Oryctolagus cuniculus: one gene and its partner. The protein of the gene in region 1 purifies or fractionates together with the protein of each later gene. This does not show direct contact. Links are inferred from orthologs where the notes say so. Each region holds a gene or a part of one and is shown on either strand. Other genes may lie near its edges.

What was found. Proteins that work in one complex are often made in the same cells at the same time.
Region 2: the proteins of MOS (region 1) and FKBP5 purify together in Homo sapiens (affinity purification with mass spectrometry; 3 studies listed by BioGRID and IntAct, counting the BioPlex papers as one, with this or other methods). This does not show direct contact. The link is inferred for Oryctolagus cuniculus from reciprocal best matches to the Homo sapiens genes MOS and FKBP5.

What each region holds. Positions count from the first base shown.
Region 1 is NC_091437.1:81,357,909-81,361,709, forward strand, and holds MOS (proto-oncogene serine/threonine-protein kinase mos), read right to left. Parts: upstream 2,341-3,801; coding exon 1,294-2,340; 3' UTR 1,289-1,293; downstream 1-1,288.
Region 2 is NC_091436.1:133,897,656-133,901,251, reverse strand, and holds part of FKBP5 (peptidyl-prolyl cis-trans isomerase FKBP5), read right to left. Parts: intron 1,873-3,596; coding exon 1,633-1,872; intron 697-1,632; coding exon 589-696; 3' UTR 1-588. UniProt on the Homo sapiens protein: Immunophilin protein with PPIase and co-chaperone activities. Component of unligated steroid receptors heterocomplexes through interaction with heat-shock protein 90 (HSP90).

The sequences.
Region 1 (3,801 bases):
AATATAAATGCAAGATATAAGAGATTTTGTTTAGAAGTTTTAGCAAAAAGTTTTCTACTAATGGCAATGTACAAGTTCTTTTTTTTTTTTTTTTTTTTTTTTTTTTTTTTTTGACAGGCAGAGTGGACAGTGAGAGAGAGAGACAGAGAGAGAAAGGTCTTCCTTTGCCGTTGGTTCACCCTCCAATGGCCGCCGCTGCAGCCGGCGCACCGCGCTGATCCTGGCAGGAGCCAGGAGCCAGGTGCTTTTCCTGGTCTCCCATGGGGTGCAGGGCCCAAGCACCTGGGCCATCCTCCACTGCACTCCCTGGCCATAGCAGAGAGCTGGCCTGGAAGAGGGGCAACCGGGACAGAATCCGGCGCCCCAACCGGGACTAGAACCCGGTGTGCCGGCGCCGCAAGGTGGAGGATTAGCCTATTGAGCCACGGCGCCGGCTCCAATGTACAAGTTCTAATTTTACCTCAGTCTGTGGATTTTATGTGTGAAGGTCATTACAAATACATTCTCGAGAGGAATAGGAACAAATTAATTTTTTTACAGCTTTTAACTGGGGCGGGCATTTACTGAAGCAGTGAAGACTCCAGGTAACATGCCTGAATCCCACATCACATATCTGGCTCAGACTCCCAGCCCAGGTCCCAACTCTGGCTTTCCGCTAATGCAGAGCCTGGGAGGCAGATGACTTACGTAACTGGGAGGCCCGGACTGAGTTCCCAGCTCCCAACTACCTTGTGCAGGCATTTGGGGGGAGTGAATCAACAGATGGGAGCATTCTCTCTCGCTCTCTTTTTTCATCCTCCCAATCCCTCGAATTTAAGAAAGAAAGCATTTAAAAAAATATTTTACTGATCTGGTATATAACCTGATTTGTAAGTGATCTGTTAATAGTTTGGATGTAGGTGGTAGAGATGGACCATATGGTGTGAATTTCAGAAAATTGTAGCATTTCTGCAATGGAATCCTGTTTTAGACAAAATATTTTTATCAATAACAAATTTGAATATATGGAATATATATGTTATTTATCAACAAATTTGAACATATGGAATAGTTCAAATAAGCACTGGACCTATGGAGAGAAAACTATATAAAGTATGAGGTAAGTTAGCAACAACACTAAACACGTAGCTTTTGCCATTTGTCAAAGAAAAGGCATTTGAGACTCAAGTTTGCAGTAACTTTATTTTTTTTTTTTAAAAAATCCATGCTACGAATATGTTTTCTTCTACATCTCCACTTCCTTAAAAGTAGATAGAAATAAAGACAAAAGCTTATCTTGAAACGGGTCGGGAGTCAGGTGAACTCCGTGGTTAAGGATTTAAGGTCCACCAGCAGGCGGTCCGCACTGGGCCTCTGCAAAGCACTGGCCCTCCAGCCGCTCTCAATGATGTCCCCAAGCCTTTGTCCGGGCACAGTGTCCCTGAAGACAGCCGCACAGAGAGACGGGCGGAGGTTGTAGGCCACCACTGCGTACAGCACGTACTGACGCTCCCCGGAGTAGGGCACCTCCTTGGTGGCCATCTGCCAGAGCGTGATGGCAAAAGAGTAGATGTCGGCCTTGGGCGTGGCAGCCTCTCCTTTCAGGATCTCGGGGGCTCTGTGCGTGTATGTGCCTCCCAGGTGGTAAGGGGGACAGCACCTCTGATCTTCCAGCCTCTCCGAACAACCGAAATCACCAATCTTACAGACATCTCGCTCGCTGATCAAAATGTTCGCGGGCTTCAGGTCCAGGTGCACAATGCTTTGTGAGTGAAGGAAAAGCAGACCGTTGACGACATCTAGGGAGTACTGCAGACACTTGCCCAAACTTAACTGCTCCCCAGTGCCATGGTGGGGCGCCTCCGACTCCTCCGCAGCCAGGCCAGGAGCCCCGTAGATGACTTGGTGCAATGTGACGTCGCCGCCAAACTCCATGATGATGGTCCCTAGGCTGTTAGAGCCTGCGGGCGTGCGCGTGCTGGCAGCCACCACTCGCACGATGTTGTCATGGCGTAGCCTTGCAATGTTCAGCTCAGCCCAGAAACTCCGCTGGGATGCTCGTAGGTTCTTGGTGCACCTGTTCACTTGCTTTATGGCCACAGGGACGCCACGGTAAGTCGCCTTGTACACAGAGCCAAACCCTCCGGCTCCCAACCTCCGTAGCAAGCACACCTGCTCCCAGTCGATGGAGCACCAGGCCAGACGGCGAGGCAGCCGAGGGGCCCGAGGAGGAGTGGCCCCCAGGAAGAGCTTCCCCGTCTTCCCGGGGAGCTCCGAAGGACTGCTGCACGGCCGCGAGTCCACCGACGGGGACAACTCGCTGGCAGCAAGGCAGCGGCGCAGGACGAGAGGCGAGGGCATGGTACGCGCTCCCTAAAGAGAGCCCCAGGCCAAGGTGAGTGTAAAGATCAGGAAAAACCGCAGGAGTTCGGAAACATGAAGGACCACTCCTTCACACCACCCCATTCCTTTTTCTCCTCTTCCTTCGTCTTCTCCAAATGAGCTACATCTGCGCTTCTCGCTCAGCAAGGGTCTATCAGATGCCGGGCAGGCAGAGAGTTTTTCCTTCCACACTTAAAGTGAATTCTCGTCAAAATAAGCTCTCCTCGGATAAACAGCACTAGTTTGTCCCAAAACTCACCCTACTTACACAGCGATCTTTCATAGGAAGAGGCTTTTTTTTTTTTTTTCAACTCTGGTCCAATGCACGTTCTTGGACCAAAGAGATCACAAAAATACGATGTAATTGTTTCACACTTTGCAGGCTATAATGATTGTGAGGGTTACTCTCCAGCTGCATTAAATCACTTCCAGCAGTTATTGGCTGCAAGAGTTGAGCAAGGAACAGCAGAGGTTTGTTTAACCTGTTTCAGAGATAATTAGGTGCAACATTCATGTAGCTAACTAAATTGCAACCTTAAAGGAATCACTCCAAATAGAAACACACAGAGGTCAAAACACGTACCTCCTCGATTCATCAAGGAAAAGAATTCTCTGTCTCTCCATTCAGCTTACACAGCAGATTAGCAAGACTCCTTAACGTCACATTGACTTCCTAACCATCCTTCCTTTCCACAGCAATTGGATTCACCTGGCAAACTCACACATAAGACTCGGCAGCAAATGAGCTGAAGTACTGAAGCGGAATTAGGGGAGAGGGAAAAGCAAAAGTGATTCTGAGCCATGGTCAGAGCTTTAAATAATCACAGAGATGGGGGAATTATAGAAGTGGAAAAATCTGAAAAAATAAAAATGGCACAAGAAACCATGAATTCTTTCTTTCTGGTTCTTATAACACAAATTAACATTCACATCTTTGGAAAAAAAGAACGATATTACCCCATTTGTTGAAGACACCTAATAATGTAGCATCTACATTTGTAAATACTCGAATGGTAACGTTTCCATATTTTAAAGCATCAATAAACACATAGGTGACTCAGAAACACATTTTAATGACAGTTATATGCTTCTGAAGTATACTGGTTCTGAGAAGTAAGTAAATACAAACCACTGACATAAGCAATTTGATGTCTGTGGGGTCCTAGAAAAGAAAAAGGATTTCCATTCTATGCTCCCTGTGTGGCTTAGCATGCAATCCTGTGTATAATAGTTAACCTGTTTGAGCCTCAATATTTTCATGTAGGAAACTAGGAGGGCTGGCACTGTGGCGTAGTGGGTAAAGCCACCACCTGCTTTGCCAACATCCCATATGGACACAGGTTCGAGTCCCAGCTGCTCCTCTTCCGAACCAGCTCTCTGCTATGGCTTGGGAAAGCAATAAAGGTTGGCCCAAGTCCTTGGGCCCCTGCACCTTCATAG
Region 2 (3,596 bases), on another chromosome or scaffold:
GGGGCAGGTGGCTAAGCCTGCAGCAAGCGAGCGGCCTCCACCCTGGCTTTCAAGTCTGTGGCGCACTGTGGGCGGTGGGGAGCTGGGGACCTGCGGGGTGCACGTGCGACAGCCGTGTCCAGGGCACTTCAGTCATTTAGGAAACCAGACCCCCTCCCCCGACGGGGAGGAAGGGAGAAATTCAGTGAGTGAGTGTTTTTAAAAGGTCTCCGCAGTGCTAGTAGAGTTCAGATGTAAAACCGAACAGACAGCTCCAAATGGTTAGGATTATCACAAGGGGACCTTACGTGGGGTACGCAGAACTGACATCCACTGAAATGAACTGGACTTAAGCTGCTGGCTCAGTCTCCGCCCCAGTGGGCACTGCTGTTCTGTCCACCTGGAGTGGTCCCACACCACCCTCTCCAGGGGCCCACTGGGCAGCAGCAGGGTGGCTGTTTCTTGGGAAGCTACCGGTTTTCCATACGCTTCCGAATCACAAAGACTAGAGCAAAAGTTTACATTAAACACTGTTTAGTCCTGAGTTGGGTGAAAGCCCACGAGGAGGGGCCGAGTTCGGGGGGACTCTGGTCCCTCCGTGGCGTGGCGTCATACGTGGCCTGCAGGCTTCTCTTCTTCCATCGCTTGGCTTTCGGTGCGTTTTTCGCCGGGGACCCCTTGCGACGTCTTCTTGCCCATTGCTTTACTGGCCTCTTCCTGAGGAAGAAGTCAGAGGTCAAGAGGGTTAGAGCCAAAGGAAGGGAGATGGGCTCTCACCAGGCCCAAGGCCAGAGTGCACAGCGCTGACCTGACAGGGCCGCCCCGTAGGGAGGTCAGGGCTGTGCTCCCCACGGCTACCCGGGGGCGGGGGGCGTGCTCTTCTTGGGCTAGCCCGCAGCCCACCCTGGACGGGCTCGGTTCAATATCCGCCTGGAGCTCCCGACTCCAGCTTCCTGCGAATGCAGAACCTGGGAGGCAGCGGTGATGAGTCAAGGGATTGGGTCCCTGCTGCCCAGCTGGGAGACCCTGAACTGAGTTCCCAGCCCTGGCCCTTGTGGACAGCTGGGGAGTGAACTAGCAGATGGACGGGCGTGTGCACTAAGATGACAGAAATGTAAAAAGTAAGCTTATTGACGTGACTAGCCTGCCAACTGGGACCACTGCTGGGCACTTAAGTCCATGAGCCAGTGGGGGTTCCAGAGTGGAGGACGCACTCAGGGGAAGGGGCCCGAGGCCCCTGCAGACACCCGTCTCCTGTCACGCTCGCCCACCAGGGAAGAGGCATGGCAAGGCTCCTGTAACCCTTCCCCAAGTCTCAACAAGGAAGCAGTATCATTTGAGGGAAAAAAAAAAACCTGATGGGTTAATGACTTTGTAAACAGCATATGCTTTAGTGCATCTCCAGGGAAGGTGTGTCCTCTGCGTGCTGTGTGGACGGGGCAGGGCCTCCCAACCGATGTGGCGCCACCTCAGCCTCCGGCTGCAAACCAGTTTTGGGTCACCACGATGGAAGTGATCTTCCCTACTCCTGGGCCTCTCGCGCCGCTGTCTACCTGTCTCTGTCTCCTACCCTTAACCTTCCAGGGGCACCAATCGAGGGGGCGAGGCCTGTCCTGCATGTGCCCTGAGGCAGGCAGCGGGGCCTGCACGCACCTTGGCATCCTGCTCGGCAAACTTGGTGAACATGTTGGCGTAGATCCTGCGGTCCCGCTCGTTGTGCTCCTTGGCCTTGCGCTGGCAGGTGGAGATCTGCAGTCGTGCGGCCTTGTTCTGGGGGTTGACTTCCAGCACTTTCTCAAAGTCCCCCTTGGCTGACTCAAACTCATTCATGAGTAGCTGGGCCTCACCCCTCCTGTACAGGCCTTTCTCATTGGCACTGTCCAGTCCCAGGGCCTAGGAACAAAAACAAAACAAAACAAAACAAAACAAACAAACAAACAAAACAAACAAAGCTGAAGGTAATCCTTCTCATTTGTAGGAATTTCAACAAGGAATTCTGTAGTTAAACAGCGTACTGAAGCTCTCTGGCCGAGGGAATTGGGAAAAGCAATTGGAAAAATGGGCTCAAGGGACCGGCGTTTTGGTGCAGTGGGTTAAAGCCCCAGCCTGCAGTGTCAGCATCCCACATGGGCACTGGTTTGAGTCTCAGCTGCTGGACTGCCTGCTTGGGAAAGCAATGGAGGATGGCCCAAGTCTTTGGGCCCCTGCACCCACATGGGAGACTTGGAAGAAGCTCCTGGCTTCGAATCAGCTCAGCTCTGGCTATTGTGGCCATTTGGGGAATGAGCCAGTGAATGGAAGATCTGTCTCTACCTCTCTCTGTAACTTTGTTTTCCAGTAAACAAAATAAATATCTATATTAAAAAAAGAAAAAATGGGCGCAAGATAACTGTATACTACTGATCAAAAAATACTACTGTAGTTACTTTCTGCATTGAATGCAATTTTTAGAAAATTCCCAAGCATATTTGGGGAAAAAAAGAAAACGAAAATAATATGAGAGGCCAGCGCTATGGCGTAGCAGGTAAAGCTGCCGCCTGCAGTGCCGGCCTCTCATGCCACAGGTGCCAGTTTGAGTCCTGGCTGCTCCTCTTCCGATCCAGCTCCCTGCTATGGGCTGAGATAGCAGTGGAAGATGCCCAGGTCCTTGGGCCCCTGCACCCGCGTAGGAGACCTGGAAGAAGCTCCTGGCTTCAGATCGGTGCAGCTCCGGCTGTGGCAGCCATTTGGGGAGTGAACCAGAGGATGGAAGAACTCTCTCTCTCTCTCTCTGCCTCTCTGTAACTCTTTCAAATAAATAAATAAATAAATAAATCTTCAAACAAACAAAACACGAGGGAGTTCTCCTCCCAGAGGAAAGAAACAGAGTGGAAGGACTGAAACTGAAACCGCGGGATGCGGATGTGAACAGAAACCCTGAGGTGGGGACTGCGGATGGTGTGAACCCCGGGGAGAGGCTGAGCTCTGTGCAGAGCGGGGCCAGGCAGTGGCTGCCAGGGCAGGAAGTCATAGTTAAAATTCTGACCGCACATCATAAACAAGAATTAATTCTAGACCAACTATATTAACTTGTTCAAAAATAAAACTATAGAAATATAGCAGAGTTAATTTTTTAAATTTAAATTTAAATTTTATTTGAAAGAGAGACATAGAGAGCAACAGAGACAAAGAGATTATCAACCTCCTGGTTCACTCCCCAAACACCCACAACAGCCAGGGCTAGGTCAGACAAAGCCAGGAGCTGGGAACTCAGTCCGGGTCTTCTATGTCGGAGGCAGGAACCCAAGTACTTGGGCCACCACCTGCTGCCTCCCAGGAGACTAGATTAGACGCAGAGTTGCCAGGGTTCACACCAGGCACCCTGACAGGGGATGTGGGTGTCCCAAGCGGTGACTTAACTACTGTGCCAAATGCCCATAGCAAGGTCATTTTTATAAATTAGAGTAGGGAAGACCTTTCCAACTAGAAAGGAAAAGGTAGATTTACTATGTAAATACTGAAACGTTCTCCGTGGAAAAGGTGTCATCCAGAAGGATAAACAAGGGAGAACGGGCTTCCTCTTGCGGGTGGAGGGCTGAAAGTGCTAGCAGAGCTGCTTCACACACTGGGAGGGGCAG